Caenorhabditis elegans: one gene and its partners. The protein of the gene in region 2 interacts with the protein of the main gene of each other region in a pairwise test. Each region holds a gene or a part of one and is shown on either strand. Other genes may lie near its edges. The genes, in order: srx-137, cah-2 and lntl-1.

What was found.
Region 1: the proteins of cah-2 (region 2) and srx-137 interact in a two-hybrid assay, tested with the Caenorhabditis elegans proteins (one large-scale study listed by BioGRID).
Region 3: the proteins of cah-2 (region 2) and lntl-1 interact in a two-hybrid assay, tested with the Caenorhabditis elegans proteins (one large-scale study listed by BioGRID).

Annotation. Positions count from the first base shown.
Region 1 is NC_003283.11:13,858,202-13,867,879, forward strand, and holds srx-137 (7TM GPCR serpentine receptor class x (Srx) domain-containing protein), read left to right. Parts: upstream 1-4,603; coding exon 4,604-4,648; intron 4,649-4,697; coding exon 4,698-5,091; intron 5,092-5,238; coding exon 5,239-5,402; intron 5,403-5,524; exon of another isoform or gene 5,525-5,527; coding exon 5,528-5,724; intron 5,725-5,779; coding exon 5,780-5,909; 3' UTR 5,910-5,998; downstream 5,999-9,678. Other genes in the region: srx-136 (7TM GPCR serpentine receptor class x (Srx) domain-containing protein), read left to right, coding at 1-25, 73-272, 624-741; srx-135 (7TM GPCR serpentine receptor class x (Srx) domain-containing protein), read left to right, coding at 1,100-1,144, 1,279-1,519, 1,866-2,018, 2,069-2,232, 2,428-2,493, 2,814-2,944, 2,994-3,120; nhr-175 (Nuclear Hormone Receptor family), read left to right, coding at 8,505-8,742, 9,280-9,678.
Region 2 is NC_003280.10:7,478,119-7,488,367, reverse strand, and holds cah-2 (Putative carbonic anhydrase-like protein 2), read left to right. Parts: upstream 1-5,258; 5' UTR 5,259-5,276; coding exon 5,277-5,322; intron 5,323-5,826; coding exon 5,827-5,963; intron 5,964-6,026; coding exon 6,027-6,149; intron 6,150-6,204; coding exon 6,205-6,381; intron 6,382-6,423; coding exon 6,424-6,490; intron 6,491-6,841; coding exon 6,842-6,996; intron 6,997-7,050; coding exon 7,051-7,182; intron 7,183-7,229; coding exon 7,230-7,319; intron 7,320-7,364; coding exon 7,365-7,451; 3' UTR 7,452-7,617; downstream 7,618-10,249. Other genes in the region: D1022.9 (uncharacterized protein), read left to right, coding at 1-126; ubc-6 (UBC core domain-containing protein), read right to left, coding at 7,860-8,038, 8,086-8,423, 8,471-8,576, 8,629-8,713, 8,768-8,973, 9,063-9,093; aka-1 (FYVE-type domain-containing protein), read left to right, coding at 9,836-10,042, 10,094-10,249.
Region 3 is NC_003282.8:5,798,072-5,811,804, forward strand, and holds lntl-1 (LIN-24 (Twenty-four) Like), read right to left. Parts: upstream 9,023-13,733; 5' UTR 8,902-9,022; coding exon 8,895-8,901; intron 8,716-8,894; exon of another isoform or gene 8,694-8,715; intron 8,329-8,693; exon of another isoform or gene 8,308-8,328; intron 8,000-8,307; exon of another isoform or gene 7,979-7,999; intron 7,899-7,978; exon of another isoform or gene 7,878-7,898; intron 7,411-7,877; coding exon 7,310-7,410; intron 6,537-7,309; exon of another isoform or gene 6,515-6,536; intron 6,002-6,514; coding exon 5,885-6,001; intron 5,630-5,884; exon of another isoform or gene 5,609-5,629; intron 5,535-5,608; exon of another isoform or gene 5,514-5,534; intron 5,164-5,513; exon of another isoform or gene 5,021-5,163; intron 4,760-5,020; exon of another isoform or gene 4,735-4,759; intron 4,648-4,734; coding exon 4,561-4,647; intron 4,301-4,560; exon of another isoform or gene 4,277-4,300; intron 4,257-4,276; coding exon 3,930-4,256; intron 3,393-3,929; exon of another isoform or gene 3,372-3,392; intron 3,314-3,371; coding exon 3,259-3,313; exon of another isoform or gene 2,940-3,258; coding exon 2,827-2,939; intron 2,822-2,826; exon of another isoform or gene 2,801-2,821; intron 2,700-2,800; and 5 more. Other genes in the region: C31H1.1 (DUF148 domain-containing protein), read left to right, coding at 1-159, 428-622, 666-1,252, 1,363-1,502, 1,548-1,790, 1,891-1,961, 2,006-2,086.

The DNA of each region.
Region 1 (9,678 bases), on a different chromosome or scaffold from region 2:
AGCGGGAAGATTACTTTTTGATAAGGTATATAATACAGAACTTTTAACTAATTTATTTAGTATTGCTTCTAGGTTGGCGGCATGAGTGCAGCTGATTCGAAAGTCCGCCGAAAGAAATACCTCGTCACATATTGTCAAACTGTACTTCAAGATTGTCTACATGTCCTCGACATGATTAACAGTACATACACGTGGCAAATATATCCAGATTCAATATGGTTTCAGTTCTTCTGTCTCACTTTTTCTTTTGCCTCAATTCACTGTTTCGATGGGTGAGTTAAAATTACATTTAAAAAAATTGGATATCCATATGGAATCAAGCTTGAAATGCGATGTGTCGAAGTTAGACTTTTTAAATCGTTTTATTTGCATGAAATATCTTTGAAGTTTGGCCAGTTCATTTTGTTACACGTTAGGAGAGCTTTGAAAAATCGAAAAGTCCTGCCTACAAAACTCCATAACAAATTAAGTGGAATCAAATTTGAAATTTGATACCAATTTACTAACGAGAAATTGTTATTGTTATTGTATAAATCTACATATCTCCACTTGACTCTACCGTTCAGTTTTATTTTGCCAGCCTTGTCAAGCATAATTTTCTGAAAAAGAAATAAGGCTTTTAGATTCGTCATGTTCTACTTTCACAGCGAAGTTCATCCCAAATGGATGTGGCGGAAGGCGATGAGGAAAAAATCATTAATTTTAGTTGTTGCAATGTCAAAACCATCTACGTTCAGTTAACTGGTATTTTTTCTGAATTTAATTCATCATAGCTCAAAGTCATTTTGTTTTCTCGTATTTGTTGGTTATAAATCGTAAAACCCGTAATTTCAAGTACCAAAACAAGCATATAATTACAAACTTGAGCCGGCGTACACATCACGTGACCAGTATTTTTTCTCAGCTTCAGATTATTTTAGCACGTACTTGAGAAGGAGGCAATAACGGCGACAAAACCCAATTACCTAACACCCCTCCACGAACAAGAAATCTAGTTGTCCAGAATGATATTTCATCTGGCTCGTTTATTGACTCACAATTTATGACGGAAGAAAATTTGGTTCCAGACCAACTTCTTTTTATTCCGGAATCAAAGTTGATGTCGGTCATATTTCACGTTATTGCAGTTGTTTCTATGTTTACGGTAAGTTTTGAAAGTATAAAGTAAAAAGGTTATCAAAAAAAAAACCACGAAAGGGGCTCAGAAACTTGGTCTGTCAGCCATCTAACTGTATTACGAAATTACATAGAATTTTCGTACCCAATTCCAAATTCCAGATCAGTGCAATGGGTCTCGCAGTGAACACATATCTTTTTCAAAAATTTTCCAACAAAGCAGGTAGAGCAAGTGCTTTTCATAAGCTGTGCCTTGTCAAAACGATTCCAAATGCAATTGTGTGTGCATCATTTCTCATATGGGTTGTACCTTTGTCAATATTTCAGCCAGATTACGAAAATATTCCAAGAATACTGAATGTATTTGTTGGTCAAACTGCCGGGTTTGGCGCATATGTCACAGGTGAGTTTTTAGTCTCAGAATTGGAATACAAAATAACTAAAATCCTCTATTAAACAATAGACATGTATTAGCGACAAAATGAGTTTTTAAAAAACGGGGAATGAACTCATAAATCACACAAAACAATGTCGTGATTGTCTTTTTTGTGCCCTAAACTATAGAATAATTTTGTTTTGATGGCTAAAACTATAGTCTTTAAAATCTGAAACATACGCATACTCATACTCAGCTTGTCTATTAAAAATAATGTTGATCAAATCAACTAGAAAACAATGATTCAAACTAACTTCTGTATAAAATGTACGAAGTCTTCTTCTACTTTAAAATTAATTCCATAATTTTTCAGGACCAATACTGGAGCTATTCATGTCTTTGAATAGATTTGCAGCATTGTACTTTGCAACTAGACACCTACGTATAAGCGACTTTCCAATAACAGGAATTGCTATAATTGGAGCCTTTGCAGTAGCTATTCTGTACACATGCCTAGGCTTTAGACGTGAGTCATTACCATCGGAAAGTTACAGTAATAAATTTAATTATATTTAGCAAATTGCGGATTTGTGTTCTATCCGGCTACATTTACTTGGGATAAAGAGTACACACCCTGTGCAACTGGGATGTCTTCATTAATATTTTATTCAGTGGTTGCTATTGCCACGTGGACCAATTGTTTGAATGTAGCCACAGCATTCAAGTTGTCCATTGGAAAAGTGAGCTTTTGATTATTTGTTTTTTATTAGTTCAAGATGAGCGATTTTTACGAATGAGTTGTTCAAATTCATTACGAACTTGGGTATAATGATGTACATATTTACAAAAATATGCATCATTTCTAAAACATAGATTAAAATTTCAAAAGATCAGACTTATTTGAATTAAAATGTAACAACTGAGTGAAGTTTTAGGTTGCTGGAATGAATCAAGCCGATGCACATCGACGGAAAAAGAAGTTGATTTTGATGTTCACACAAGTAAGTTTATATCAGGCTTTACAGACAATTAAGACGCACATCTTTACAAAAGTCGAAGACCCGAAAAAAAATTAGCTTTTTCATGAGATAACTGGAGAAAGTCGAAAAATGTGTTTAATTTTTTTTCAGAGTTTTTAAATTCAAACACAATGTTTTCTATATTTAGTTTCTGAAAACTTTACACAAACAATATTAGCAATATCAGATAATAACAAAAAAAGGAGAAAATCTTTATTCCAATGAGCTCACAATCACAGACAGAACCGTTGACCACGAATTTGCTCGCTTCACTTGCATCCAAATTATCGTTTCTTTTTCAGAGTGTCATTCAAGACTGTCTTCACGTGATAGATCTCATCAACAGCATCTTCATATTCAAACTAAGCGATGCTCTTTGGTTTCAGTTCATTTTTCTTTCAATATCGTTTCTTCTTATTCATGCACTCGACGGGTAATCAAGCGTGGAGCAGCGTATTTAGACACAAAACTCTTTATTTCAGTTTTGTGATGCTCTATTTTCACCCTGAAGTTCATCCCAACTTTCTGAGAGGAAAGACGTCATCAAAGATAGCTACAATTGCAACGCCTACTTTTTTGGGAGATAGGAAAATTACAACTGTTGAATAATTATTCTCATTTTCAAATTTTTTTCGCTAGAACTTAATAATTTTATGTGATTGTTATTTGCGTGAATCCGGGTGAAATACAATACTCACATCAGTTCAATACAAATGTTCTAAATTTTTTACAGCTGTTAAGTCTCAAAGAATGTTAAAGTGTTGGAATTGTCTGTAAGACTGAAAAAGATTACTCAGTTTAATACCATGTATGATGTGGCATCTTTGCAAGACCCTAAAGGTGTTAATGTATAACATAACAAATCTAATTGTGCCGCGATTTTTATTGATAAACAAAAAATCAAAGCCCCATATTTTTAAAGATGCAGGTGAATTTTGAATAATGTTTACTGTTTTTGCTGAATTTTAAATGTCATAGATTGACAAACCACTATATGATCGAAATTTAATATAAAAACCGGAGAAAAACGAAAACAGATCTTGTTCTGATCTGGATGAAGAGATCTCGAAAATGTTCTGAAAGCGTGAAATAATTGAAACAAGCATGGGTGGTCATTTGGATTAATATACGATTATGTAGGTATTTTTTGTTACGGCTTACAAATGTGCTGTTATTGCGTCATTTTTATTAATTTCAGAAGTTTTCTTAGAAGTTTCACTTTTTTCAGAAGATGCATATGTATTCTTTTGGTTTTTCTTTGTAACATCACTTTTTGTTAACCTGAGAATTCTAATGCAAAAATTCTCACTTCAAGCATTTCTCAAAGTTTGTTTGAGACTTGAACACCACAATCTATGTACTCAGTTGTTTTTTATAGGTTTGTATGGCACGAGCGCAGAAGAAAATTTGAAATATTTGCAAAAAAAAACGTTGAAATTTAATTTTAAGTTTGTAATTCAAAAAAATGAAAAATTATTTTTTAAGTGGATAAGAGAAAACTAATTGCAGAAATCTAGTACGAAAACTGCAAAATTTAACGTGTTTTTGTTGTGATGCATAATAGGATTTCGTTTCAATTAAAGCTTCGCATTAAATGCCAAAAACTTTTAGCAAATACTTGAATAATTCATTAGACCAATAAATCTTCGTATAGTCGAGATTATTGTGAATGCCACACTGCATTCCATTAGTTTTCATGAAATTTTTCGGTTTTATTCATTTTCGTCATAAACAACAATAAAGATCACACATATTTTAAGTCTAAACTAATGTTTCACATTTTATAAATCTTAAGAGACAATTTCGAAGCTACCTTGATTTAATCTTTGATAGCCCTAACTTCTAGCCATTCACAAAACCTCTTCCCTTTTTGTGTCCGGAAAACTTAATTCATTTTCGTTGTGACTTCCCACGATTGTTTGACAACAAAGTTCTATGAGATGTCTATTCTCTAATAATTTTCCCAGAATCCAGACAATTTAAGAATCACAGATTTCATGATTAGTCTACTTCTTTGTTTTTGCTCCAACTAATCCTTGTGCTCATAACTGTAAATTCCGAAAATCATATACAATTCAGAAAAAAAAACACAATGGCGGATCTTTTCACTATTATTGCTGTAATTTCAATGGTTATTGTAAGTATAAATTCCAATAAATGTTAGAATCCAAATTTCTTACTTTCAGACAAGTTTCATCGGTGTGCTGGTTAGTGTCTACATATTCTTGAAATTTGCCAGGAAGCCTGGAGAATTCAGTGATTTCCACAAATTTTGCCTTATAAAGACTATCCCCGATATCTTCGTTTGTGGAGCATTTCTGTTTTGGGTTGCTCCAGTGACAGCTCTTTCTCTTACTTATGCAAAAGTTCCATATCTTCCAAATGTTTTTATCGGACAGATTGCAAGTGGTGGTGCATATATTTTGGGCGCGAGTATTCAAATGTGTATGGCAGCAAATCGGTTTTTTGTAATTTATTTCCCATTTCGTCAGCATAAGTCAAAAAGATCTTATGTGACATATTTTGCAATTGCTGTATGTCTTGGACTAGCAATTACCTATACTTTGCTAGGTTTAAGAAGTAAGTTAGTACACATCGAATTTCAGTAAGCTTCTTCTTTGGAGCTTTTGGATTTAGATTTAACCATTTTAATCCAATCGGAAATTAATAACACATAAATTTGGCAATGTTAATTTGTACCGTAAAATTACATTCATACGATTTCAGAACTGTGCGCCTACGTCTATGACCCCGAGATATTTTCATGGAGAGTTGAAGAATCCACATGTGCTGATCAAATGACAACTCTTATTTTCTGGTCAATCATTGTCCTCGCTGTCACCTCTAACAGTTTTAATGTACTTACTGCTATCAAGTTCCTGTGTACTCAGGTATGTAGTTTCATGAGAAAACTTGAAGTGATTCAGGATTTAGCTCACTCAGTGTGAGAAGCAACACTTTGGTTTTCGATCGCTCTAATTTTTCCCATGTCGATTCACATAGTCCATATTTATAGAGTTCCGGAATGCGACAAGCTGATGCTGCCCGAAGAAGAAAGAAGCGTCTATGGCTCTTTGTGCAATGTGTCATACAGGACTGTCTGCATCTGACAGACCTAATAAACAGTATTTTTATATTCGAGCTCAGCGACAAAGTCTGGTTCCGTTATATCTTTCTGTGCTACTCGTTTCTTGCAATACACGCCGCGGATGGGTGAGTTTTGCTCATGATCTTTCAAAATTTGACTAATGTGATAAAATTATTTCAGAATAGTCATGCTTTACTTTAACCCGGAAGTTCAACCAAAGTGGTTCCGGCAGATAACAAATGGCCGTCATTCGTCTAGAACTGGAGTCGTTGTTGTCTCCTCACATCATTCCATGAATGCAGCTAAATAAATGCTCACGTGATTTTGCTTACTGAAGAAAATTATAATAATTGTAGAGGTTTTGGAAATTTCAGGAAATTTAATAAAGTTCGAGAAAGTTTAGAAGAATTTGGAAACTACTGCAAGTTTCAGGAGAAATTCAAAACTGGGAGGCTATGGAAAACTGTAAACATCTTAAAATTGAGAATTTACAACAAGTTGGGAAGGTTCTGAACAAATTTCGAATTTCAAATATCCGAGAAAGTATTGGAAACTTCCGAAAAGTAGAAAAAATCTAGTGGGCTCTACATAAAGTTTCCAAAAATACCGGAAAACGTTTCTAAAATATAGATTCTACATGAATATTCAATTAATTAAAACCATACAAGACCAAGCCTTTCTAAAAAAAAGTTATGTGTAGAAATGGGCATCGGTTGTGATTTTTTCAAGTTTCTGCATGATATTTTAATAATTGGTAATTTAAGCCAAAAAAAAAAGCAAACTTGCACATTTATTATCTTGACTTTTGTATAAACATTGATTAAAAAACAAACAGTCACTTAAACAAACCTGTTCTAATTATGAGACAAATTCCTCTGGCACAGCAAAGATTTTTATGAGAGATTAAGTCACGGTTCAAGCTAGGTACATGTTTAAACTACGCGGAAGAAAGCGAATATTTTCAGAAGAAATCTATCAAAAAGTTTTCCGAAAATAATTTTATCTAGACTCACGTAATTTGTGTATTTGTAATATTAAACATTACCAATGGATATTATGCATAGTGTATAAATTTCTGAATACCAAATGTTGACAGAAATCAAAAAGAAAGATTATCAAAGAATCCTTGAAAATTCAATATAGGCGAGTTATTGAAAAATTACGATCCTCGTATCAGCAATGTGATCCTTCCGCTTTTATCCAATTTATTATTTCATCTTCGCTTCTTGCATACCGTTTCATCCCTTCGTATGTTACTATCTTCCTCGTGAATCGCCAGAAATAGGTGGAAAATGCGAATAAATCGGAGAAGTACCTAGTTTGGTCACCGTTTCCCAGATTCTGCATGTCATTAATATCACAACAGTCCATCTCTTGAATTAGAACACGCAAAGGGACTGTCGGGCGGTTGTGTGGATATTAGGTTGGACACTCGGGATGATTTATCATTACTACAAGGTCCAAACAGACCAATCAGAAAATAATGTTGACCTTTTTCAACTGGATCAGAGCTTTCAATTAATGCACCAAAAGGCTGAATGAAAGCTAATAGGAAATGTAATACTATTTTCCAATAGTAAACTTTGAATTCAAGAAGTTATTACTCACAAAACCACCACCGCATCTGTAAGATGTTTTATAAGTGCAAGAAAAAAGATGACCCTGTAAGTTATAAGGCTATTTATGAAGACTTTTGCGTTTCTGATAGATGTTTGATAGATATGGCAGGTTTTTGAAGGACAATATATATTCTGGAAAAAACTCATTTGCACTGAAAACCAAGTAAATTGGGTCATTCAATTTTTATATTTCTAAACTTAACATTGTTATTTTAATAACTCCAGAAACGTTCAATTTTTTAGCCCGACTCACGGTAGAACATCAGTTCCAATGTCCTTCAGTATTAACCGGAGATTCTGAAAAAGATATTTGTCGCAGCGCTCTTTATTTTCCATCTGCGCACCGGAGTGACACTCACCTGAAGGTATAGGTCATTTTGGACGGCTTTCTTCCTTTTTTAGGCGTCGCTTTGTTTCACATCAACGAATATTTTATTTAAAACTTGTAATTGACAATATCAACCAACATTTTATCATTCTGACTTCTAAGACCAACTTCTTGGAGAAAATGAAACTTCCTTATAACAATAATACATTTTTATTAATAGTGTAGTAGGGAAGTTTGGGTAATTTCTCACTATCAGTTAGACTCAAAGTATCTTTAAAAACCAAACTTCATAATGAAACGGCTCTAAGTTATTTGAACAATTTATTGACGGTTAAAATTTGGAAAACTTTTCAATGTCGCAGCGGCCGGGATTTAGTTTTTTGTAATTTAAAAGAAGATAATTATAATTATTTAACAATTTCATTTAATAAATAATTTCCAGCTGCTGCAATACGGAAAAGTTGGCAAATTTTTAAGATCTTATCGCGTTCCGGGGCTTCTTGTTTATGTTTTTTTCTCGTTTTCCAGATTTGAGTTGCGCCCTCGTGGAATATAATTTTGTTTTTATTCGAGCTTTCTTTTTTTTTTAACATCAAATGCCATTTGTCCCGGTTTGCAAGAATTTTATTTTAATGTTAACTTTGTTTAAAACGATTATCTTTGATGTGTCTTTGAATTTCTTATCTCTGAAAATTGGCTTTGAACACTTGGCCCTTGTAAGCTGAGTTCGATCTACACACAAATACATGCGAAGGGCGCTACAATCCGCCTTCAAAAGTATGCACGCGGAGATGAGATCAGTGCAGATAATGATCTAAGCCCATCTTCCTCACGTCCGTTCAACCCATTTCCTATTTGTTAAGTCCATTCTTCCTTCACCTTCCTGTTTTCTCTTAAATTAGTCTTCTGAACATATCGTAAATATTCGATAAATATTTTCAGTTCATTTTAAGAATTGATGATTGTTGTGTCACGAGTTGAAAAAACTGGAATTGCCTATAGTTACCCTCCATCGACACCATCACCAGAATGGTTTCCAGAATTGTCTGAAAATTGTGCAGTTTGTGGAGATCGGGTGCATAGTGTTCGTCTTGGATCGCCGGCATGTTTGGGATGTATTGTGTTTTTTCGCAGAGCAATCATCAATGTATCGAAGTACAAATGTTTGAAAGATGGAGATTGTTTGATCAATTACGGTAAGTTTAAAGCCAACAGCCTCGGCTAGGTGGAAACTCTGGCAATAAGTTTACCTAAATATTAAAAGTGGAGCATCATCACTGAAGATTTAGTCTACATACATTTATAATAGTCCATCGTGACCGATATTTTTGCCGCTTGAACTTTTATAACCACAATTAACTGACTATTTTAAATTATGACTGTATTTTAATCACTTTTTTCTGCCTGTAAATAGAAAATTTAATTCTTTTTTTGAAAAGTATGATGTTTGAACGTTTTATCCACTGACGATACTACATCTTTAAATGCAATTTTTGTTGCATGAATTCATTTAAATTATAAAAAAAAAAGAAACACCATATCTATGCAATTCTAAAAAATCAAAAGTTATGACGTCCATCATATGACACCAACAAAACACAACAATTTGTTATAGTGTAGGTATTTAAATGTCACAATATCGAAATCAGAACGATACAAAAAATTCTGATACATTGTGTCTTTTGACACCAACATTTTTCCTCCAGCTCATTTCTAATTCTTTTCTGTTTCAGAATTCCGGTCATCTTGCCGAGCTTGTCGTCTTCAAAAGTGCTTACAAGTTGGAATGAAGCAGTCGGCAGTTAAAAGACGAGATTGCCTTGGACCAAGAAAAGTAACACCACCAACAGCTGCATCTACTCCTCCTGTTGTTCAGCGGAAGCCAGAATCTTATATCATTCAGAATTTAGTCAAAATTCAAGATCGTCATTTTGAAGAACATCGAGATCAAAGTGTTTCTGAATTTCGAAGAGCAACAGTATCTGATGTGAACAAAGTGTTAAAATGGAGTATAAATAATGCAATTGAATGGGCATCCCAGTTCAGCCCATTCCAATTAATTATGAATGAAGATCAAAAATGTGTAATTTCCGAATATGGTTTCGCATTTTTGGTCGTTGATCAAGCATTCC
Region 2 (10,249 bases):
AAATTAGTTTGGAATCGATATGAACGTTCGAATGATGCACCACGACAACCAAAGGAGTTTCTGAAGAAGAGAGGAGGAAAGAAATCGAAGAATGACGATGCAGAAGCAGCCCTTAACAGAAAATAGTTGGTTTATTCTTGAAACATCTCCAGAATCATGCAATCTAATAGTTGAACTTTCAGAGAACATGGAGTCGAGAAGGTCAGTAAATGAAGTGAACTCATGTTAGATAAAGATTGTCGTTTGATTCCAGTTTTTTTTTCTTAGAAATAACAAGAAAAAACAAGAAGCCATTGATTCTCATTTCCATACATATCTCTTAGCACTTTCGTATCTCAATAACACTTTGCCACGTCATTTTTTGACACCCTCCGGCCACCAATCCAATTACTAATGCTAGAGGTTTTGAGCACGCCCGGGGAAAAGTTTCTTGGAGAGCACGGCTGTTTCTTGTTTTAGATTGCTCCAGAATAATTTTAATTCTTTCTGTTTTGGCTTCGGTCTGATGTTGCCCACTTTTTTCTTCGATAATCCAACACAAAAGACGGCTTGAGGAGGCCATTGAGAAAAGATTAGAAAAGCTGGCGGACAGCGATTTTTGGGTGGGAGGGATGAGTGCTCAAAGTACCCTCTTCTATTCCATTTCCACACTTTTTCTCCGATCACTCACACTTTTATATTTTGTGTGTAAATATTCTGAAAAGAGGGATGAATGAGTGGGGAAAGAACGTCGTCGTCTTCGTTAAAGGTATTCAGAAAGGAAATTAACATTTGGAGTAGGATGAGAGAGAAAAGAGACGGAAGTGTCGTTTCCCTTTTTAGAATTGTAAATGATGTGCTCCCTGACGGGCGATATGACTTGTCGAATTACCACCTTAGATTCTAATCCAATCTTCTCACAAATTGCTACATTTGTCCATGTGTTTGCACTTTGCAATTTGCAATTTGAGAGAATTTCCGGAAATCGGAAATTCGTAGAGTTCAAATCGACATAGTCTCTTTCTTCGTTTTCTTTATGCCCAATTTTTGTTGGAAATTCGATATTGTCAGGCAAGAAGTCAATTCTGGATTTATTAATTTTTATTTGGAAATGGCTAGGTTGTTATTTGGACAGAATAGGGTTAATCTAGTTATAAGAAGTTTGTCAGAACAAGTTTTGTTTTCATCAATATCTAGGAAAACTTTTTTAAACTTTATAATTCCTTTAGCTGATATGTTTTTGGGATAATTTCTTTGCAACTATTTAAAAGTGAAGTAAAGCCAATGGGGATTTTTAAAAACTTATTTACAATAGTCCAAAATGGCTGAAACCACTCCAAAAAATTTAAAGGTTTCAAAGTGTGCAGTTGAGGGTTTGGCAAGTTGTCAAATTTTCGAAAATTTTGAATTTTAGAGAAATCCAGATCCAAAAATCCAATTTTTTTGGTTGATTTCCAAAGCTATTTGACAATTTAACAAAACCTCGGCTGCACATTTTTTGAAATCTAAAATTTTTAGCAGTATATAAAATAACCAGCCGTGGACCGCACCTCCGGCGCGCCCCCGACTTCTGGGGCTGAAAACTTATTTTTCTGAAACTACCGTAACCCTACAGTATTCCTACCGTACCACTATTGTACCACTACAGTACCCCGATATATCCCTACACTAACCCCAACTCACTATCCCCACAGAAGCCAAAACTTCACAGACTACAAAGACTACATTGACTACAAACTATGGACACACAGAATAAGCGCTTTATATATAGTAAATGATTTCAAAAGTGGCTTCAAACAATTTTCCCATTTGCGATACGCCTTTAATCTTGATTAAATTTTAATATTATTTCTGATGACCACTTTTGTAGACGATTTTTGAATATTTCAGCTTGTTGCAATTCGAACCAGTTTATTTTTAAAACAAATCAATTATTGATGATCTTGCAATGTTTAAAGTCGGTCTCTATTCGAGCCATCGGTTGTGAGTTCCTTTTTTTATGTTTATCATATCAACCACCCTAGTCTTCCTTTCCAATTTATCATATTTTCTTGCTTTCCTCTCTCTATAACGCCCAAAACTTTATCAATTTGTCTACGTCTTCTACACATAGAGCTTCTTTTACTACAACCGATATATGAAAACTCATCTGATGGCCACAAAGGTCATTCAATCTCATCAGCACATCTTTTCTTTTTCCGCTTCTTCCCCCATTTATTGCCTGAAGAAACCCAATTAGAAAACGACGCGGAGTCGTCGTGAGAAACTGTCCCCATATACTCTCTGAAGCGCCTTTCATCATCATCTTTTCAATGTATTGAATATCTTTCCCCCAAAAAAAGAGCATCCTCCTTTCTTGGCTCTTTGAGCACTTTTCTTCCCGTAGTCCATCTCTTCATATACATACAAAAATTTGGAATGTAGTATTAATTTGAAAGAATAGTGACCCACACAAGTGAGTTACTCGTAAAGTTTATGGTTATTGGGTATCCGAAGAAGTGCAAGGCTTTCCTCGTTTTTTCTCTCTGTGTCTTGATGGCTTTTTATCAATGCACATGTTTGAGAATGTTAAAGTTTGAATTTATTTTTTTCATCTTTTAGACTTTTGTTCTGGAAAAATGTTTAAAAAGGGAATATCTTTTTCAATGAGGATTCCTGCAAAGACATTTCTGTATTTTTCGACGTTACACTTGAATAACCACATTAGACACAGTTAGTTCTCGACTCATGAACTCATCAAAAATTAACTGTGAAATAAAATTATTCAATTTTTTAAATTTTTTCCGAATAAATAGTTCCCATTGTCTTAAATTATATTTCAGTAAGTTTTGAATCTAGAACTGATTCCTAGGCAACACTTCACTTTTCCATATTCTTTACTGACCTCTACCCTTTTCTCGATGATTTATATTTGTTTCCTCGTCTTCTATTTTTCGTTTCAATTTTCCCCTTCGTTTTTTTTAAATATTTTCGAAATAGATACTTACAGAATGCGAAAAAAATTAATATTCTTCTACCTCACGACTGGATTTCTTATAACATCAAACGCAGTTCAATATCCATGGACATTTGACCCCGAATTATTTGGTGGTAAGTCATTTATATGCTTTTCTACGGTTTAGCTGTAACTTTTTTGTTGGAAAAAGAAAAAAAAACTGACACATAAACACAATTGAGGTCTCTCTCTTCTCTTTTTTGCTCACAAAATTCAAATTTCCGTCTCAACCGCGCGGCGAGAATTCACTTTACGCGTTTCTTTTTTGTCACTTTTTTCCAGACTCTCTTTCCGATCACGATAGTCTGACGACATGAAAAGGTGTTCTCATCGTTTATTTTGCAAAGAAAAACTAAAATAACACTGGAATAAGCTTTGTGTAGTATCTGAAAAATAATAGTTTTGTTTTTGAAGAAAATATTTCCGCACCATGTTTCTAAGGTTTCCTTTCGTCAGGAGTCAAGAATGATTGATTCAAATTCATAAACATTTTTTGTTCTAAATTTTGCCTGAAAAATGCTCAATAAATAACTTATTTTAAAGGATTAAAACCAATAAAGATATTCTCACTGTTTCAAATAAATTTTAAAACTCACCAGCTGTAGAAAATTGCCGGTCTTCAAAAGCAATTTTAATCTTATTTGAAGTTATAAAAATTTGTATTTTTGCTAAATAACTTCTAATAGAGAGGTTCTCAGTGCTTCGTCGGACATTTAGAGATTTCATCGAACATTTCTTGTCTTTTTCTCTTTAATCTTCCCACTATTTTCATTTGATGATCCTCCCGAAATCAAAAGAATTATTCATCAATTTACTGGATACGAGTTTCCCACGATTTGTCTATGGGCTCACACAATCTTTTTCGCCTACTCTCGCACCTCCGTCCCACATATTCAAGAGAGTATCAAACGGCAACATTTTTGTTATTTTCTTTCATCAAGCTCTTTCTTTTTCTTATCCACATTTTTCAGCTCATTCTCATGCATTTTTGGCACATTCTCGACTGACCCCGAAAAAGCCACTCTCTACCACTTTTGAATAGTGCTTTTGCACTAATAAAACTGCAGTTTCCTGAACGGAATACCTGGCAAATTGTGGGTCACAGCGGGGCGGTGAAGCAACGCCTTGCCGTTTCTAATCGGACTCCGTCTCGCGGCAGTAAATGTTTTGGCCCAATCTAATTTCTAACCAATTCGGCCCTCCCAGTCGTCATCCTGCGAAGAAAATACACGTTTTTGTTATGTTACACAGCAGTTTTGTTGAAAAAGAAAATATTTTCTTTGAGAAAAGGAGGATAAGTGTATGATATATAACTCGAATAATTGGCTCCATCAGTTATAACTAACTTTCTTCATTTTCCATATTTCTTTTCATCGTTTCACTTCATTTTCGGAGCATCCCCTTGCTCAATAAATTTTTACAAAAATTATCAATATTAAATAAAAAGCTTGAAGAGTTAAAATTTTCTAGCATCAGCCCAAGCTTAAAATATTGAAAAGAAGTAATAAAATTTAATTTTTTTCACAAAATGAAAAATAACATTATTTGTAATAAATGTGCTCCCATTTTTGACACCTTATCATAATAGGTTGCGTAGTACTTTAAACATTATCCACTAGACATCTAGTAAGGTATCTAACTATAAGACTTAGAATTTGATAAGTTTCAAAATTGTGCACCATATACCTGACAGTCCGTGCATTTTAGATTTTTTAACCATTATCTTTTTTGATTACTCTGTGTTGAATATGTATTTTACTATACCTCCAAGGTTCAGCAAAAAGCCCACACAGAAAATTTTCCTGACACTTGTTTTCTAATTTCGTGTCCAAAGATTTCCGGTCATCTTGTTTCAATTGCGTGCCCTTCTCCTCTCGTTTACTACTGATTCAAATATGCAAAATTGCTCGCCATGTCTCTGCGCTTCTTCACAAGCCACATTTCCGGCAATGAACACATCTAAAGGTGCTCCGTGAGCTGGCAATCTGAGTGTTTCATCTTCTTAACCAGTCCCACCTCATCATGTACTCCACCGAAAAAAGTGCACCCAATCAATCTTCCTTGTCTTTTTTTGGGGCTGAGCTCTCTTTTCGCTATTCGTACTACTCGTGAATGTACATTTTTGTCGTTTTCGACACCAATTAGCCGACAAACTCGTAAATAATTCTGAGACGAACAAGTACCGTGTCAGTTGTCACTGGCAACTTTCAGAGACTCTCTTTCTCTGCACTTTTTCTCTTTTTTCTTTGTTCTCTTTTGCTCATTCCCACTACCTTCATTCCAGAAGATTCCGCAGAATATTATGATACCATGGCTCTTGACAGCCTGTATATATCCTTGTGTTATAGGTAAGAAATCTGACTTCCCCGTGATTTAAAATCTGGAAGTTGAAATACACAAACTTCAAATATTCTGTTTATGACAACAATCATATTCATTATGTCTTACTATAATTTAGGGTTATGATTCACTAATCACGTATATAATTGAATACTCCTAGGTATTACACCTATAGTTAAAGTTTTGAAAATAGTTCAGCAGCTTACAAGCTGATGCATTTAACTTTCAAAAGTGGATTAGTTCCACTCACTCATAAATTCGACCAAAAAGTGTTTCCTATTAATTTTTAGTTTTAAAAATGTTTTAATTATTTGTATTTGAACATTTTGAAGATCCTGCGATACTGTTCTAAACTTTTCGAAAGTCAAAATATTACGTAAATTTGGCAGTTTACCAAAACTTTGCCAACAAAAGTTCCAAATTATTTTTTTTAATCTTTAAGCATAGAAGAATAGTTATAAATACATAAATACCATGACTGGTTTATATTTTCAACAATTCAATATTTTCAGGTCCCGACTTCTGGGGATTATTACACGGTGACTGGAGAATGTGTACAGCTGGTCAAATGCAATCACCAGTAAACATTGATCCTTCCCAACTTTTATATGATCCACATCTAATGCCTATAAACATTGAGGGAAATATTGTAAGTTCGTTTTCTATGCTTTCTGATTATGAGTTTCCCGTATAATTTTGTTCATTTTTCCAGGTGGAAGCAGTTTTCGAAAATACCGGACAACTTCCTGTGGTCACAGTTAAAGATCTACCAAATCGGCCAACAATCAATATAACAGGAGGACCAACAATGCCTTATCGTTATAAACTCCATCAGGTACCCTTTATTCGAAAAGGAATTTTTAGACCACGAGCAAATAAATTTAATTCAGATAAGCGTACACTTTGGAAGAGCAGATGAAGGAGAGAAAGGATCAGAGCATACTGTAGACAGAGTTCGATTTCCGGCGGAAATTCAGCTACTAGCATATAATAGTGCACTTTATCCAAATTTCAGTGTTGCAATGACATCACCAAGAGGGCTTCTTGCAGTTTCTGTAATTGTTGATGTAAGTACTTATACTTTTTCTAAAGTCAAAATTTGTATTTAGATTGGAAAGACTACATCTGTGGAGTTACGAAGATTAACGGTTGCGTCACAGAGCATTAACTATAAAGGTGCGTGTTTTTTCAATGGTACAGAAAGTATATAATTGAAAATGAAAAACTCAAAATCTTCACTCAAAATACCGGATGACCGGTTTACAGTGTAAGATCCTTTTTGTTTGGCATCTGGAACATGGTGCAACCATATTTTTAGAGTTTGTTCTACATGAATACTATTTCAATCTTGGTGTGAAAAATATAACTGCTAAATTTGGAACGGAAAAAAAAAGACAAGGTGGTCTGGGACCCACTGGAAAAAACCTGTGCCTTTAGCATTGCCTTACCAAATTACGATAACAAGAAATATTTCATAAAATCAAACGGCATTTTCAAACTGCGTTAAAATTTAGATTCATTTTTCAGGCCAGACTACAAATCTCACTGATTTTCAACCATCTGCACTTTTACCAAAAACCTCTCACTATGTGACATACGAAGGATCTTTAACTTTTCCCGGATGTCATGAAACTGTCACTTGGGTTATTTTAAATAATCCAATTTATATAACCAATGATGATGTAAGTCATAAATGAATCTAATGCAAAGGGCTGAAATAAATTGAAACATTTCAGCTTCAAATTTGGAATGAAATGCAAAAAACAGAAACAAAACAACCAGAACCATCATATATGACTCCTGCATATCGTCCATTGAAATCGTTAAATGGCCGTCTCGTTAGAACAAATATAAATGTTGGATCAAAAGTGAGAAAACTTGGTCTTCCAAATCTTTAATATAGTTAATTGTTCAGCAGTCTACTGTATCTTCAAGTTGTCCATCGAATGTTTACGTGGAAATGGGGTACCAAGCGAATCCTGGTAGAAATAAGCGGAATGATTCGGTAAGATACACGTCGCAGATAAATTTTAATATTTTATTTCAACAGGTTTCTCGAAGATATGTTCCAACATCGGAAGTTTTCGAAATCGATAGCATTCGTCCTGATGATGTTTCCAAAGCCGGTTCATTTTAGTAAATTACTGTACATTCTCTACTCTTCTTTCACTTTGAAAAACTTCGCGTTCTTGCTCATTCTTTCTCCGAAAGATTTAACTATTGATCTGTGTATTTCTGTATTTAATGACACTTTGGAACTATAAAATACGGGTTCGATTTTAAATGAAGTGTTTGACTCTCTTTCTGTAGAATTTTGTGATATTTTTTGACTGAACAAATAGTTAAAACCAATTTTATGAATAAAAAAGAACTCAAGAAATAAGAATCACAAAGAAAGATACTCAAATATTTTGTGATAATTTCATTAGAATCTAAATACTAACTGAGAGGAGAGAGCCAAGAAATAACTGGCAAGTGATTGCACGAAGTTTGATTTTAGAAAATGGAAAAAGTACAACGGGATTGAATAATATTATACATGTATTTACAACTCGGAACCGTCTTTTGGTGAAGTTAGATTATCGACAAGGAAGCGACGAGCCAATAGTGTGAAGAAAATAGCGAAACACAAAGCGATAACTGGAATCTTGTATAGAAGGGTATAGTCAAAGTTTGTTGATGCCAAGCGGGGAGCGTGGTGTTGGAATACCAGAGGTTGTGGATCTGAAAATATAAATTATTTTCAAGACAAAATGTTTCAATTCAAGTACCTCGAATGGGTTGGACAGCAGGTTGTGCGACATCTGGTACTTCTGATGAATTGACATTAACAGTAGTACCTTCTTCTCTCTCATCTGCATCTTCTTCTGATTCTTCGACATTTTCTGTTGGGACCGAGCTTGTTTCTTCACTTGGCTCTGTTTCTGTCGGGTTCTTTTGATTGTTGGCTGCTTCAACTTCTTTTTTAACAACAGATTCATCTTGAAACTTGAGTTGGGCAGCAAGAGTTTTCGCTTCTTCGGTTTGTTTTAATTGTCCATCTTCAGTTATCGGAAGAAGCGCAGTTTTCATGACACATCCGCATTCTTTACATTTCCACTCACAGCTCCTATAAATACGCTACTTGATTAAAAACAAATAAAAAATGAGACTCACAATTTGGCTAAACGCTGGCGCTCTTTGGGAGGATAATCCAAACTACCAAGCGCGCCTCCTGGGGTACTTGGCAGGAATCCAATCAACGCGAGAAGAGCTGTACGAACTGCAAAATGTATTAAAAAGTCTTAAAATGAATAGACCATTGTAAAACTTACTGCTCCAAGATGGTAGCCACGTTTCTGGGTGATATCCCGAAATCGAAAGGCATACTTTCTTATTTAGCTCAAATCGTCCATTAGGCTGTAATGAAAAATTGTGTAGACTATGTAATTGCAAGGAATAAACTGAACATACCGTAAGAAGTATCAAATTTGGCGGTTTCATCGGGTAATCTGCTGGAAATATAATTCTACCATGATAAATTCCGCCTTCAAAGTCAGTCCCGAGAGTACCACGAATCGTGAAGTGCCATTCAAAAAGATTGTCTTCCATTGGTTGTGCATGATACATTTCCGTTGGCTGTCGCAGTTCCATGGCTTCCTTCATGAGCCTCCGCACACCTGTAACGGAAAACATTTTAATCGGTTTATCAGAACTTTTGTTTAAAACAAACTCGTTTGTTTTAGTTGCTAAATTTGAAAAGACTCACCGGCATTTTTAGTGTTGTACTGCTCACTCATTTTATTCTCTAAATTCTCGTACTTTCAGTCAAATGACAATAAATGAAGACGGAAATGAGAAAAAAACTGGAAAACCGAAACCAACGTCAGCGAGACCCGAAGAACTCGGGGGATGTCCAATTGGGGGTATTACCAACTCGGGGGATTGGCCCCGCCCACAGAACCGTGGCTTGCAATACGCCCATTTCTGCAACTGCCGCACGGTTTTAAAATCATTTTTTTCTTGTTAATTCTCGCTCTATTGAGAAAAATACAGTTTTAAAACCGTGCGGCAGTTGCAGAAATGGGCGTATTGCAAGCCACGGTTCTGTGGGCGGGCCAATCCCCCGAGTTGGTAATCCCCCCAGTTGGACATCCCCCGAGTTCTTCGGGTCTCACGTCAGCTGAAAAGAATGTTCACCGTCACGTCAAATTGCACACATTCTTTTTAGAAGACACCGTCACGCCAAATTGCGGACAACCGACCACTTGATCGCATTTTCTTTTCTCTCTTGTTGACAAGACTTCCGCGTCGTAAAAGTAGTCTTTACACGATTTTCTGTCCGTTTTTAATTCTGAAGAAATTCCTAAAACGCTATCCTTGCTTAAATCATATTTCTAAAACGCTGGATATTGATTTTCTCTTCGCAAAAACATTTTCCTCCGCATGAACTTTCATACGACAATTTTTTCGGTTTCATAATGATTTTAACATTGACTTGAATATCCGTGTTATTTTTTCAATAATATTCTTGCAGTCACAATGGAGGAAGTACCTGACATGGACGACCTTCTCGACGAAATGGAGTCAGACTTGGTCAAGAAATGTTGCAGTGTTCAATCAAAACCTCTCTTGCCACCAACATCGATAGGAATGCAACCACGTGGCATAAAACACAATCCGGCTCCAAGAACTGTCGTAACCGTTTCAAAATTTGTGATTAGTGAGGATATGAATGAACAGATGGAAGTAAGATCTCCCTGCACTTGTTTTATCTTACAATTACACATTTGTTTCCAGGGCAACATCAATATTGACACTTCACAGCTTCCAAACACATTTCAAACTAAATCAAGTTTTCCGCCTAATTCAGATGAAAGAAATATAGGAAAAGAGAATGAAGTTTCGGCACGTCAAGAAATTGCTCACAAGCTCAAATCTGTTCATAATTATTCC
Region 3 (13,733 bases), on a different chromosome or scaffold from region 2:
AGCATGACTAGTGAGTATTCGGAAACCATCCATGGAAACTCGTTGGCATCTCTGGCTCCATCGTCACAAATATTGAGCTCTTTGGTTGAAACTACTGAGAATCGGGAAATGAGATTGTGCCTCGGTAAGCAAATGGAAGGAATTCTGGAACTGGATACGGTAAGTTGTTGCAGCTTACATTTTCTATAAAGAGACGTCAATCTCCAAAATTATTAAATCCAATTAACAATTGTCCAAGAAAAATGCATTTGAATTTTTCCGCATTCAAAATGTTGTATTGTCAGAAGAAGTGCACACAGACACAATCATGCCTGCCTGCCTGCCTCAATGTCAACCTGATAATTTAAAAATGCTCGCAGGCAGGCATGTGTCAGGCACGTCTTTCTGATAAGCAAGATGCTGAAAGGTTTATCTATCAGTTTTTTAGATCCTCGAGCAAACTGTGGAAAATACAACTGAAACAGTTGTCAAGCAAACATCCAAACTTGCTGAGTTGCTGCAAAATGGAAAACGTACTTGGGGACATCATGATGAGCTCGTTGATTGCCTGGAAGAAACTGTTGGTGGAACAGTAGATGAGCTGGAAAAGTTGGAAAAGAAGCTTCTTGATATGGACGCCAAGGTGAGAGAATTAAAGTTTTCCCGATGATAAGAATATTTTACAGATTGTCGACAAGTTCCGTGACAAGGAGAAGGTGGAAAAGTTTGTTCGTGATCACGAGAGAATCTACGAAATCAATGAGAAGACCATCAATATGATATCAGAGAATGAGAAACGTGTTGCTAAAATCCGTCAATTCCTGGATATCGGGAAGGTTGATGTTGGGCCTCTGACTGTTTTTGAGCAAGAAGATCATCGTGTGCAACAGGCAGTCAATAGCCTTGTCAATTTGATTCACGAGCTTCCTTTCAACAAGAATGAACGCCTTGATTTCAATCACACTATCGAAAAGATTGTTCAAAACCACAATTATGATGGGAAGTACAAGTTTGAGCTTCTGACTCGTCATTTGATGCGTGTGATGAGCAACTGGGATGCACAAGAATCAATGAGCAGCCTGAACAGTGATTCCTGGATGAGTACATCAGTTGTTTCTAGTAAAGGAAATCATTTGGATGTATTTGATAGCTCCTCGTTTGCTCTCTCTGGATTGTCAACTGATGACTCGAGTCTTAATGATTTAGACGATGCCATTCGCAGTGCAAGTATTCGTAAAGCTGTTGAAGGTCCGAAAGGAGTTTATGAGTGCGGGTAATTTTTTTTGATGCTAAAATTAATTTTTAAAATATAAAAAAATTCTGTTTCAAAATTAAATCTTATAATATTCCATCCAATTCCATCAATGCCGTTTTCAATTTTAGATCTTGGGATTCTGCTTCAAACATTTCTCAATGGTCTACCTACTCGGATGGTCACTCCAGTGTGCAGTCACTTCGCGAGCAAATGTCCTTGTCTTCGTATGAGCTTCGCTCGTCCTCTGGCCACTCGACACTTTCTTCTCGTTAGTTGCACATTTTTAATCCTATTTCTTACTTTAAACTTTTAGTCTCCACCAGTTCCATGCCGGACAATATGTCTGAGATTCCGTGCAAGAACTATTCAACCAATTCCATGAAGACTGCCTTTTCAAACGGTAGCTCAGTTGTCAGTGTTCCACCAAGATCGTTTGATGAGAAATCAATGCTCCAATCTGCCACTGGAACTCGTACGGATTCGGCTTCTTTCAATTTTTCTAGTGTTTCTCTTGGTGAGATAGTTGAGGATGCACTTCATACTGCAAAGGATGTTGGTTAGTATTATTTACTGTTTCTTCTAGTTTTTAAAAATCTCAGCACATTGGGAAAACCGTTTCACTATCTTATTGACCAACTTTTTAATTTTCTTTCCAGCTGAAACTCAAGCTTCTCATTTGTTTGATGCTCTTCAAAACTCGGCTCAGAAATGCGGAGTTGCTCTTAGTGTAAGCGAATACGGTAGTTATCCTTGCAAATAAATTAATTTCAGGACCTGATGACCGCTGTCTCCACCAGCTCATATAGTCTTGAAGAGACTTACACTTCTCAACCAAAGTCTCCTGCCCATTAAATTTTTTTCTATTCGACTTTTTGTATTCAATGCATTTTTATTTATTTTTATAGTATCAGTAAAGTTTTAGAGTTGGAGTCATTTTTTTGGCAATCTGTTTCAAACAATGATACCCGCAGAACATAATACAATTTTAACGCTTTGTTACAAAATCTACTGTTTCAAACTGTTGATAAGTATAATAGAACCTTGTTTATGATAGTTAACTTCATAAATCGAATAATCGAATGCTTATTTTTCATTACCGGAAATTATTATATCAGAGGGGAAATAAATGGATTTGTGAAAAGAAGTAAAGCAGAGAAGCCAGTGGAAAAAGATAAATTATATTGATTCATAGTGAGAAGTACTTGTTAGTACCGACGAGACGAGTTGAGTGAAAATTCGTTGATTCGGACTTTTTGCTCAATTCCGAAACGGAAGATGCACTGGCCGCGGGTCTCGTAGATGGCAGCCTGGAAATAAAAGGTGTTCCAAGAAAAAAAGTGACTTGTCATTGTATAATAGAACTTAAAAATTGTGTAATACAAAATAAATTATCCGCTGTTTCAAACCTACTATTAAAGATTTTGATATAAATTAAAGAATTTGATATATTAAAGATTTTGATATAAAAAATTGGTCAATCCGTCATATGTATCAAAGTTTTTTTTTAATGAACTCTATACTTTTTCATATTGTAGACAAAGTAGGCGAAAAAATTTGAAATCTTAGTGAGCTATTCGATTCGATATACTTACAGGTCCATCAAAGCGGAATCCTTTAGCTGTGTAATCAGGCATTCCTCGGATGATATCACAGATATTTCCTTCGATAATTGTGACCAAACTGTTGTTTTCTTTCAAGTTGGTTACTGAAAATTAAATTCGATTACAAGGGAAATTATTTGTGGGTATATTGCCTGGTTACCTGGTAGTGAAATAGTTTTTCTGTTCTTTTTTCTATTCAAGCTTTTCAAATTGGAAGTTTAATTTTTCCCTGTTTTTACACACCTTCATATATTTTCTTCCATTGAATAATTTCAAAATGTTGTTTCCGTTTATTAGTGGTGTAGCACTAGAAGTGGAAGTGAAACAGTTGAATAGTCAAGGACCCTTGACAATTTATTCATTCATTCTCTTGCCAATTCAATGAAAATGTGTTAAATTTGCATGAAAAAGGAAAGAACTCACTTGTCACCAAAACTTTGCCACTCAGACGGTTTTCGATGCGGAAATCGCGAGTTACCTGGAAAAAAGGGTTTTTGACGGATGATGGGGTCGTATAAAGTTTTTTAAAGTTTAGTGACTTGACTAACACAAACTTATCAAAACTTCTCGGAAAGCATAATAATTTATTAACTGTTTGAAACGGCAAAACATTGTGAATATGTAGTAGGAATTTTAATTTGATTCAAGAAATCTTACATTAGACATTACATACTTAGAGTTTCTAAACAGTTGCATTCCTTTAAATTTTAGTCAGTAAAATACCTAATTACCGTTTTTTTTTGTTGCAATTTCACTTGCCTTATTATTTTTCAATTCAAATTTCTATATCTGTAAAAAATTAAGCTTTTGAAAATCATTACTTTCTATGAGCTAATTGAAACAGTATCAAAGAGGTTTTCATTGCTGAAAATTTCAAATAGGAACTATTCATCGATGAGAGCTTTCCATATAAAAATTTAATCTGTTCAGCTGATGTAAGTTTTCATAAAAATTTTCTATCTCGAAAATGGATTCATCATTCAATTTTTGCAACCAATTTTTTAAAAATCCTTTTAGAACATTTCTAATTACTGAAAAAGTAGTTTGAAGGTTTAAATTTGATTCCATCTCATTCAAACAATTTAAAAACTTACAATATCTTCAATAATCACGAGTTCAGCAACAGTTTCTGCACCTGGTGGCACCTTAACACAACTATCAACACCCCATGTCAATTCTTCTTCAGAAGTATTTTCTCCAATATGATTCAACATAACTTCTGTAGTAAATCCAGCATTTGCTTCCACAACTTCACAAGGAGTTTTCAGTTTCAGTGAAACTTCTGCTCCACGGCAAACTCCCTTTTCGATGATTACAGTTGAAGAGCTGCGAGTGCATCGTTCCGTTTTGAACGAATATTCTTGCTCGCGTTGAGTTGTATTCGTGAATGTCGTTTTGAAAATCACTTTCTCATCTTGTTTCTGAAAATTGAATATTCTTGTTGAGGTTGAGAGAGATGTGAATAAAATTTCTAATAACCGCTATTTCAATATTTTTCATTAGAAACAGTAAAATTTTTCTTTTTTTTAAATTTTAAAATCAAATTTCTCAATAATATGGAAGTTATTTTTTGTTCAGGAAACTTTGAAACGCACATACTGAAATTTGTATATTTTTATCGACAGTAAATTTTTCTAAAAGTTTTGATTCAAAAATTAATGATATGCCAAACCTATTCCAGTATAAAACTTTAAATGTAATATTTTTAATTTAAAAATAACTAACTGCATCGACAACATTCGGCTTTGCTCCAAGGATTGTGTATGTTGGCTCCGAGCATTCTTGAAACAGTTTTGTCCAGTTGATATTGTACTGAAAAATTGTTGGGATTATACGGAAATGCCCATGCGAGTTCTTTAAAACAACTTTCTTAAAATTATAACTAGAATTGTGAAAAGTGATTCAAAGACTAGATGTTTATTAAGTAACTCTCGTTGTAGTTAAAACGTTTCAAAACCACCATGAAACATACTCCAGTTGTATTTTTTAAATACTGTTTCGCATTTCCCTCAAAATATTCTTTCTCGCTAGGAATTCTATACCCTCAAGGTGTGTAACTCGTAAATCAAGAAAGCGGGTGGTATGTGTGACTGTTGTTCCTATACACACACCCTGAGCCTTTGACACCTTCGTGCCGACTTCATTTACATTTACACTTTGGGAGCATTGTTGATGATGAGGTTTTTGAGAAGTTGGTGAAGATGAGAGTAATAGTTGATTCTGATTTTTGTTCGTTTTCGAAAACGCTAGGAAAAGTTTGCAGATTAATTTATCTCGTTATTGGAGTCAAAACAAATATGAAGTTTTAAAACCATGTTGAAAATGATTTTTTGTCATTTTTTTATTCAATCATAAATATTTTAATTTGATTTTTTTTTTCAAAATTATATTCAATCATTACAGTCCATTTTTTACCATTAAAAATATATATCAACAACAAATATTTTTGGCGCCTCTCCAGCCAGCTTTAAGTTCTAGAAAACTGTTCAAAAAAAATTGTAGAAAACTGCCGATAATTCGGTGAAAACCCTGACAATTTCCTTTTGCTGGGTACTTTTTTTTTGAGTTTTATAGCACAACGAGAATAAGTTTATACAGAAAAATTAAAGAAGTTTTAAAAATTATTATTACTGTTTCAACATGTTTTCATCAGCTTTGTACTTCAGCCAGGAAAATGTTGAAATTGCTTCACAAGATTCTTCCCTTCAGATTTTAGTAATACATCCTATTTCCCATTCTCTATATCAATTTATTCACTTTGGCGGGACCTCATTGTATTCAAATAAATGAAACCATATGTCGGTTCCCTTGGGTGATTTTTGTCATTCTTTCTTTCTCTCTTTCCCTTTTCAATTTCTCTTATCCCGCATGAGCATTCTTCAATTCATTACCCCCTTTTCACTTTGAACGGATTAAACACACACATGGGACCTCCCAAAGGCACAACCTATCAATTTTCATGCTCAATTTCCTAACGGAGGTGCCAATTTCCTCTTTCCGTAATTGGATCGATGGTGACAAACTGAGCATAATGAATGGAAATGCTCACCGATAAATATTTCTTCTTGATTTTTCCCTCCGCTTTGCTTTTTGTCACATCAAACATTGTCTTTGCCCAATTGGTAACAACTTCTTCCAAATCTATCAGGTCGGATTTTGCGGCGTCCTGGAAAAACTCAATTTGTTTTTATAGGGTGCAATACATGCTATAAAATTTTTTTTTCAAAACTTTTCATTAAATTGAAAATTAAGAATTCAAATGGGTTAAAGCGGTAGTTTCTGAAATCAAAATGTATACAAAACTTGATGAAACAGTCCATTTAATTTTTATAAAGGTTCATTTCTTACAGGTGTTTCTAACAGAATTAACATTCCTGAACATTTTTAACTTTTGCTCTTTCATTAGAATCGCAGAGAATTCGAAAAAAGGAGCAAAATGTAAACTTACAAAAAATAAAATTATTATCAAAATATGTTGAAACTGTAGAAAAATGTAAAACTTGATAATTTAGCAAATTAACAATATTTCATGTTTAATAGATTAAAAAATTTTTTGAGTATTTTTTTTCTTATTTGCAACAAAAATTGAATGATTTTTTTAAGAGAACGATTTCTCAAAACCTTAAAAATCGAATTCCAAACTGCTTTTGGGCTCTTAATATATGTTTAAAATTAATTTTATCACAAATTGCATCCGTGAATCAATGAAACTGATTATCATATTATGATAAAAACTTGTTGAGACAGTACAAAAAAGTTGTAAATTTGAAATTCTGTCAATGTATTTTTACACATTTTGCGGCATATATTTTTGCTGATAAAGCGAGCGAACAAAAAATAATGAATTCGTAAACTTTAAATGTGCTCATAAAATAACTAGGCTCATGAAAAAAATGCAAACACTCTTGGAAAAATATCAAACAATCTGTGTATTCGGTGACTATTTCAGCTTAGAGATTATATTTTTTGCAAGAATACGGATCAAAATTGAATTGTTATGTTCAGATGAGCAATAATTTCATGTTCAATCAGTTAAAAATAATTAATTAAATGATCCTTTTAATATTGAGGTATTTCACGTTTTTCATATTTTGAAGAACATAACTTTTAAAACTGCAAAGATAAAAATATACACCTCAAAAATACAAAACTTATGAAAAAATGTTGAAACTGTAAATTAATTTCGAATAACACAAATTCGCTTGTTTACAGAATCCCACAAAAGTATACGTAAAAAATAAAAACTATCTTCACAAAGTTATAAACTTTAATTAAATAGTGTTGATACAATATTTATAACACATTTCAAGTGTTCAAATTTTCAGCACAAGCTGTATTCTTCCGTTCACTTAAAGAAAAAAATATATGCATGAATTAATGAAAGCTTAAAAAATCGCTGAAACTGTGAAGAAATTTTAGGTTTCGCTATTTTTAATATATATTTTCAAATTAAGAATTAAATTCAAATACTTACATTTCCTTTCACAAAGCTTTGTGGCTCATTTGCTCTGTTCGATTTCAGCATTTTCTCCTGTTCTGGACTAAAAGCCGGTGATTTCTGTGGAGATATGCAACCTGGAATTTATTGATCATTAAGTTTTCAGAATAGATGAGTCAGAAACATATTTCAAAATATTCTGAGTCTCTCTTCTCTCTTCATTTTTCAACCGAATCAATAGTAAATTGCGCGTTGCAATTCTGCGTCTAAATTTTTTGAGCGCTATTTCACTAGAATGCACGAGAAGACGGAAAAACGTCGCCGCTCTTCTCTGGCTCCCCTCAACTACCGTAATCCACGTTTATTTTTCTCTGCGTCTCAGAATCTCTAGTTCAGAGGATTCAGGCACATGAAAACGTGGGAAACAAAATCGGAAATGTATATGTGAAACATGGAAAAGGAGAGAATTTCGGAATAATTAGAACTGGGACTGGAGAGAGAGAGAAAGGTGAAGGCTACAATTAGGCAGGTATTCAGGTAAAGAAGAAGAAGTAAGTGAAAGTTTCCTATTTGAGAGAAGGGAGAACTTATATTTCTTACTAAAGCTTTTGAAAATAGTACGGTAATATATATTTTTCTCAGCAAATGAAATAAAATTTCAGTGAAACAGAAATTTTTTTAAATTCCGCTCACTTTTTTCAACGTTTTTCAAATATTTGTTTCCAAACATTTAAAATTGTTGTTATGGTAATTGAATTTTTTCTGAAACTGTAGAAAATGTATTATAAAAAGCAACTCACTTTCATCACTCATCATAGCAAAAATTTTTGCGTTTCTTATGAAAAGCTCTGCTCATTTTAACCTATACTGTTTGTTTAGTTTTTTTCACGGTTTTTTTTGTTTTAAAGTTAAAGCCAGCAATACTGTTGTGAAATTTTCCAACTTTCCTAGAAGACATCATAATGTGAAATTTTTCGAAAAAAAATTACAGTTTCATTCATAGAATATCATTTTATTTTTTGAAATTAATTCAATCATCTCGATGTGTGGGATCGACTGGCCGAAAAATTTCAAGAACATTTTGAAAACTTCAAAACCTTCCTCTTCACTTCCACTTTTGTTTAACGTTGTTTATAAATCAGATTACTGTACTCTGATAGAAAACGACACAGAGAGAGAGAGAGAGTATAAGAAAGAAGAGACGCAAAGAAATATTGCGAGGGATTTGGCACGGTACAATTGCAACGCGGTTCGGTTTGCCCTCTCACAAACAATTGAATTTATAAGCTCATGCCGAGAGAGAATAGAGACACACAAATCACTTTTTAAATCAATTTTTTGAAATTCCAATGATGATTCATGATTACACTATCCACTGTTTCATGATGTTTATAAAAACTCGTAGGTTTTATTTAACATATTGAGTAGTTGATGTAAAAAGTTTCTGCAGTTGAATAAAAGAAAATTACACCAATTGAGTATTATATATTTAGGTTAGTTGAGACGTTAAAAAAAGTTCTGCTCCAAATAAAACATTTTTTGGTTAAAATTTCAATGAATGCAGACACTGTGCGCTTAATTCACATAAAAAAAATTTTAAATTTAAAATCAACAAACTTACTAAACATTTTTTTATCGAAATTGATTTCCAAAAAAAATTCGATGATTCAGACGGGCAATCGGGGGACACACAAACAGGAGGAGTCTCTGTGAATCGAAGCCCTCCGCCGGGTTTCACATGACGACTCCGCCTACTTTGTATGCCTGCCAGCCAATCGTCGATGACTTCTTTGCCTCTTCTTCTCTTACTTATTTTCATTTTTCCAGGGATTCAAGCTGCTCGAGGGGGCGATGTTTTTATTTTCCCTGTAGAATTGATTGAGATGTATTTTTAAAAAATTAATAGTAAAAAAGAGGAATTACTAATACATACTTTAACCAATATTCGAAAAGCTAAGTGAATATAATTTTCGTATTTTTTTTTACTGTTTCAAAATTAGAATATAATTGAAGTAATTTTTGAGAAAATAATTCGATTTTTGTAATCATAATGAGTAATGCTCAACAACAAGTCGTTTTGTATTTAAAATAATTTCTGAAATATTAGCTAAAGTGAATCCATCAGCGATTGAGAACGGAAAAAAAACAATTCGAACTATTTTCGGAATTTTTTTTGCTGTTTCAGATGTTAAACTAAAACCATTAAAACAAATGCCAAGTTTGATAATTTCTTGTAAACACTTTTCATATGTTTCTAATACGTTTCTAATATATATTTAAAAATATGTATTGGTAAGCAAATAATAGTTTGGGGAATTTCCTTCATTCGAGTTTGGCCAAAGTTTTTTACCGAAAAATCGATTTTCGTAATCTTTAGTTCAATTGTAAGATTTTTGACATACTACATTGTTTTTATTTATCAATGAAAAATTATTACAAAAATTGGTTTTTATAAATTGTCGTTTTGTTTTCATATATTATAGGTCTTACGTCCCACAAGTCCTGAAAAAATTAGGAGAACACGGCGAACAAGATGTATTTTAAGCTCTTTCCGGAAAGGTTTGAGTTTTAATTTTTATAGTTTAAAAGTTCATTCAACCACTTTATGAAACATTTGAATTTTTGAATGTGTTTTTTTGAAAACTTTCTGAAACCTTCTAAACTATATTTGCGAGGAATTTTTTTTTACAATCTATCCCTTCACACTTTTTACTGTCACCACACACCCAAAAAACCGTGAAATTTATGAGTCAGAACACAACGACGGAAACATGGAATGGGACAAGGACACCAACGAACACGCAATCCTGAAAAAAGTTAAAAGTAATATCTTCAGAACCTCCCTGAAATTTATAAAGAAACTGAAACATGATATGTGATAACTTTGCAAAACAATGTGAAAATTTTAAAACAAAAATACGAAAAACCAAAAAAAAAGAGTGAAAAAATAGTGGAAAGATTATTCAAGCTTTGAAAAAATGAAGCGTATTCATGAAATTTATAAAACGGTCAAAAACTTTAACCAACGTTTTATTTCAATAATGCCTAAAAGCATCGAAAAGTTATCCATTTTTTAATTTACATTTCAAACGTATTCTTCAAAAAAAATTTCTTAACGTGTGTAGCTCATTAAATGGTTACTGAAAAGTGACCTATCATGTCTTGGAAGGGTTTCAATCAAAAATATCAAGAACATTTCTACTAGAAAAAAGTGAAAATTATGGCCCAAATTAATTTAAACATATTTATGAAAATAGTGAAACGGTAATTTTTTCGACCAATTTTTTGTTTCAGTGGCGCCAGGATATTTCAGACTCACAAAAAAATGACCCAACATCAGGAACACCTTTGGAGTTTCATTTGAAGTTTTTTTTGACATTTGACAACATCCATAGACAATCATTTGATTAGCGACATTGGCATATATCAAGAACCTGAAAACTGTCATGTTAAACACTGAAAAAATAGTTGGCCTAACCATCCTGAATTTTATCAAAAACCTGAAACATTTTATTTAATAGTTTTTTATACAAAAATCAGTGACGTCGTTCGTTTATCAATTTACTAAGAAATATTTTAGAAAGATACCAATATTTCAATTTTAGTCAATTATTTTCGCATTCTCTATCGAACAGTTGTCATTTTAAATTTCAACTTTAAAATGTTTATTAGTAGTAAAACAATCTCATAGATTTTCATAAAAAATTTTATGATAAAATAGTGAAACGGTAAAATTTTTCAACAAATTCCATTTCAACGTCACCAAAAAAAATTTAGATTTTCAATATGTGATCCAGTATCGGGAACAACTTATAAATTACGTTTTGAATAAATGTTATGTTTCAGACATTTAATAAATATACCATAGTCAACTAAAATTCTAAACAGAATGATAAACCACCACAAAATTTATCAAGAACCTGAAACTGTTTTCAAAAAAAGTGAATGTTTTTTTTTTTTTTAACTTTCATTCTATTAATCAACCAAAAAACTCCTAAGCGTTTTGATATTTGAAAGTTGTTCCAAATAAATACCGAGTATTTATATAACAGTTCAAGGATTGAGAGCTACTTTCATGCTCAGTATACGTTTTTTTTCAAAGAGCTTAAACTCCAAAATAAAAGATTTATCGTTCGTTCCACTGTCCTATCAGTTAGAATCAAATCATTTGCATGTTTACTGAACTTATGAAACGGTAAAATTTTTCTGCCGATGTTAATGCTGCCTGTCAATGTCAAATCTTCAAACAAGGGACCACATATCGGGAATTTTCATTTCAAATATATTCTACCACTCGGCCGGCAACAATCATAATAATAATAATTGAGCAAAGCAAACATGTCGGCTTTTTCTCCTTCACAACCAAAGAAGGGAACGCGTAATAGAATGCGGTGTGAAATAATACATTCTATATATGTTTCTGTTCTCCCCTCATTCCCACTCTGTCCTCATTTCTACCTGCTTGTCGAAAACCTGTCAAGCTCCGTTTATTTGTGTTGGCTCATAAATCTACTTTCTCTCCAAAGAGCAATTGAGCCAATTATAACATTTATGCTCATGCTGGAGAGGAAAAAGCTTTTGGAAGGGAAATCTCCCATGGGGAAAAGGTGAAGAAGAAGAAGAAGTGATCAACAAATTAGAGACAATTTTAGGATTTAGTAAGAGAAGAGGAGGGAATGGAAAGGATACGTCAATTAGCGGATTATGAAGAATGGGGCATCAGAAGAAGAAGATGAAGAGATTTGAGAGTTTTGGATGAAAAATTGGAAAAGGGATTGAATAGATACGAAGGTTAATCTACTGCAGTTCTTAAGGTTTTTCAAAAGGGGACGTTTAAAATAGTGTGCAATGTATATTGAAAAAGTTCATTATAAATGCAATAAACCACTGCAATTCAAGCATTAAAAATGTATCCATCCATTGCTGGAATCTGTTGAAAATATTTTTATTTGAAATCATGACTTTTCAGAACACATGTATAATCGTTTAAAAACGTTTTGAATTGAATTTGATTGCAATTATTTTGAAATAAAAAGGCAAAAATGTGAACATCAATGTTTGAAAAATACCCACATTGTTTGTTAAAAGTATGTGAAACAGTAAAAAAATTTCAAGAAAATTTTCCAAAACAAAGGTCCAGAACACAATTTTCAGCGCTGTTTTCGTTAATTTGTTTCAGCCTAATGTAATTCATAAGGGTTCTAATTTGGAAATCCACCAAAAATCCTGAAGCCTCTTCTGATGATGTCATATTGTTTAACATAAGTTTCCCGCATATTTTGGAGGTCAATCGACAAGGGAAACTTTCTTAATACACGTGCTTATTATTCAGATGCACAATTTTCAAATGCAAAATTGACCTGTGGAATGTTTGAAAAATACTTGTATTCATTTTTTGGAATATGTGAAACAGTAAAATTTTTTCGAGAAAATTTTCTAGAAAATTGTGTCAGAACATCATTTTAACCCTTATTTTGTTGATTTTTTCTCAATCCAAGGGATTTCAAAAAGTCATCTTGTCAGTAGACCTAAATATTGCAAATCATAAAAACTTTCATATTTTTTGAAAACAAGCTACTGCCATATTTTGGAGGACAAAGTGCAAGGGTACCTTTCTGAAATAAAGAAGAAAACCATAAAACTCGACGCAAAAAATAAATAAAAAAAACTACCATAAACTTTTCTACGCGTCGAGACCCATCTGGATAAACCCTAGCGTCTTTAAGAAGGCATGTCAAAATCTACTGGAAACACAATAATCAAAATTCTTCGAATTGATCTTTATAAAAAAACATCCAAAAAGTAAATAAATCCAACATATGTCATGATTCCAACCGTCTGTCACCATCTCTTGTCATCTCATACTTCCCGCACGTGTTCCCAGTCGGCACCTCGTCAATCAGCTGCCTTCTTCTTCTCATCTAACCTGATACCCAAAATCTCATTATTCATAGTCTGTTTCCCATTGAATGACAGACAACTTGTGTCCATCCATCCATTCAATATTAAACTGCTTCTTCTCTGTGGACGGAATGACGAAAAGAAATATGTGCTCATCATTATTCGAATTTGATTCGATTCGCTTCCACTCATCGACACGCAATCGTCCGTGTCATTTGGAAAACCAGGGGACAATATAATTGAAACAATGCCGACATTGGAATAAAATTTGCATATTTGAACAGGCGAAAAATCACCGAGATTGGTGGCGCCATCTGTGCTCTAGAGGACGCCTAACAAGGGTTCATAAAAATTTCATACTTAACATAGAAAAAAGAGCAAAATCAAAAGGATATGATTAGTTAATTATCAACGATTGTGTGGTACGGGAGATGATTGGATTATGTATAAGGGGATCAGGGGGCAAGAAATAATCGAATTTATGAACCTCTAAGTACCCGTGGTACACGAAAATTATGAGAAAAAATAAAAAATAAAGCGAGATGGTGGGGGGAGCAAC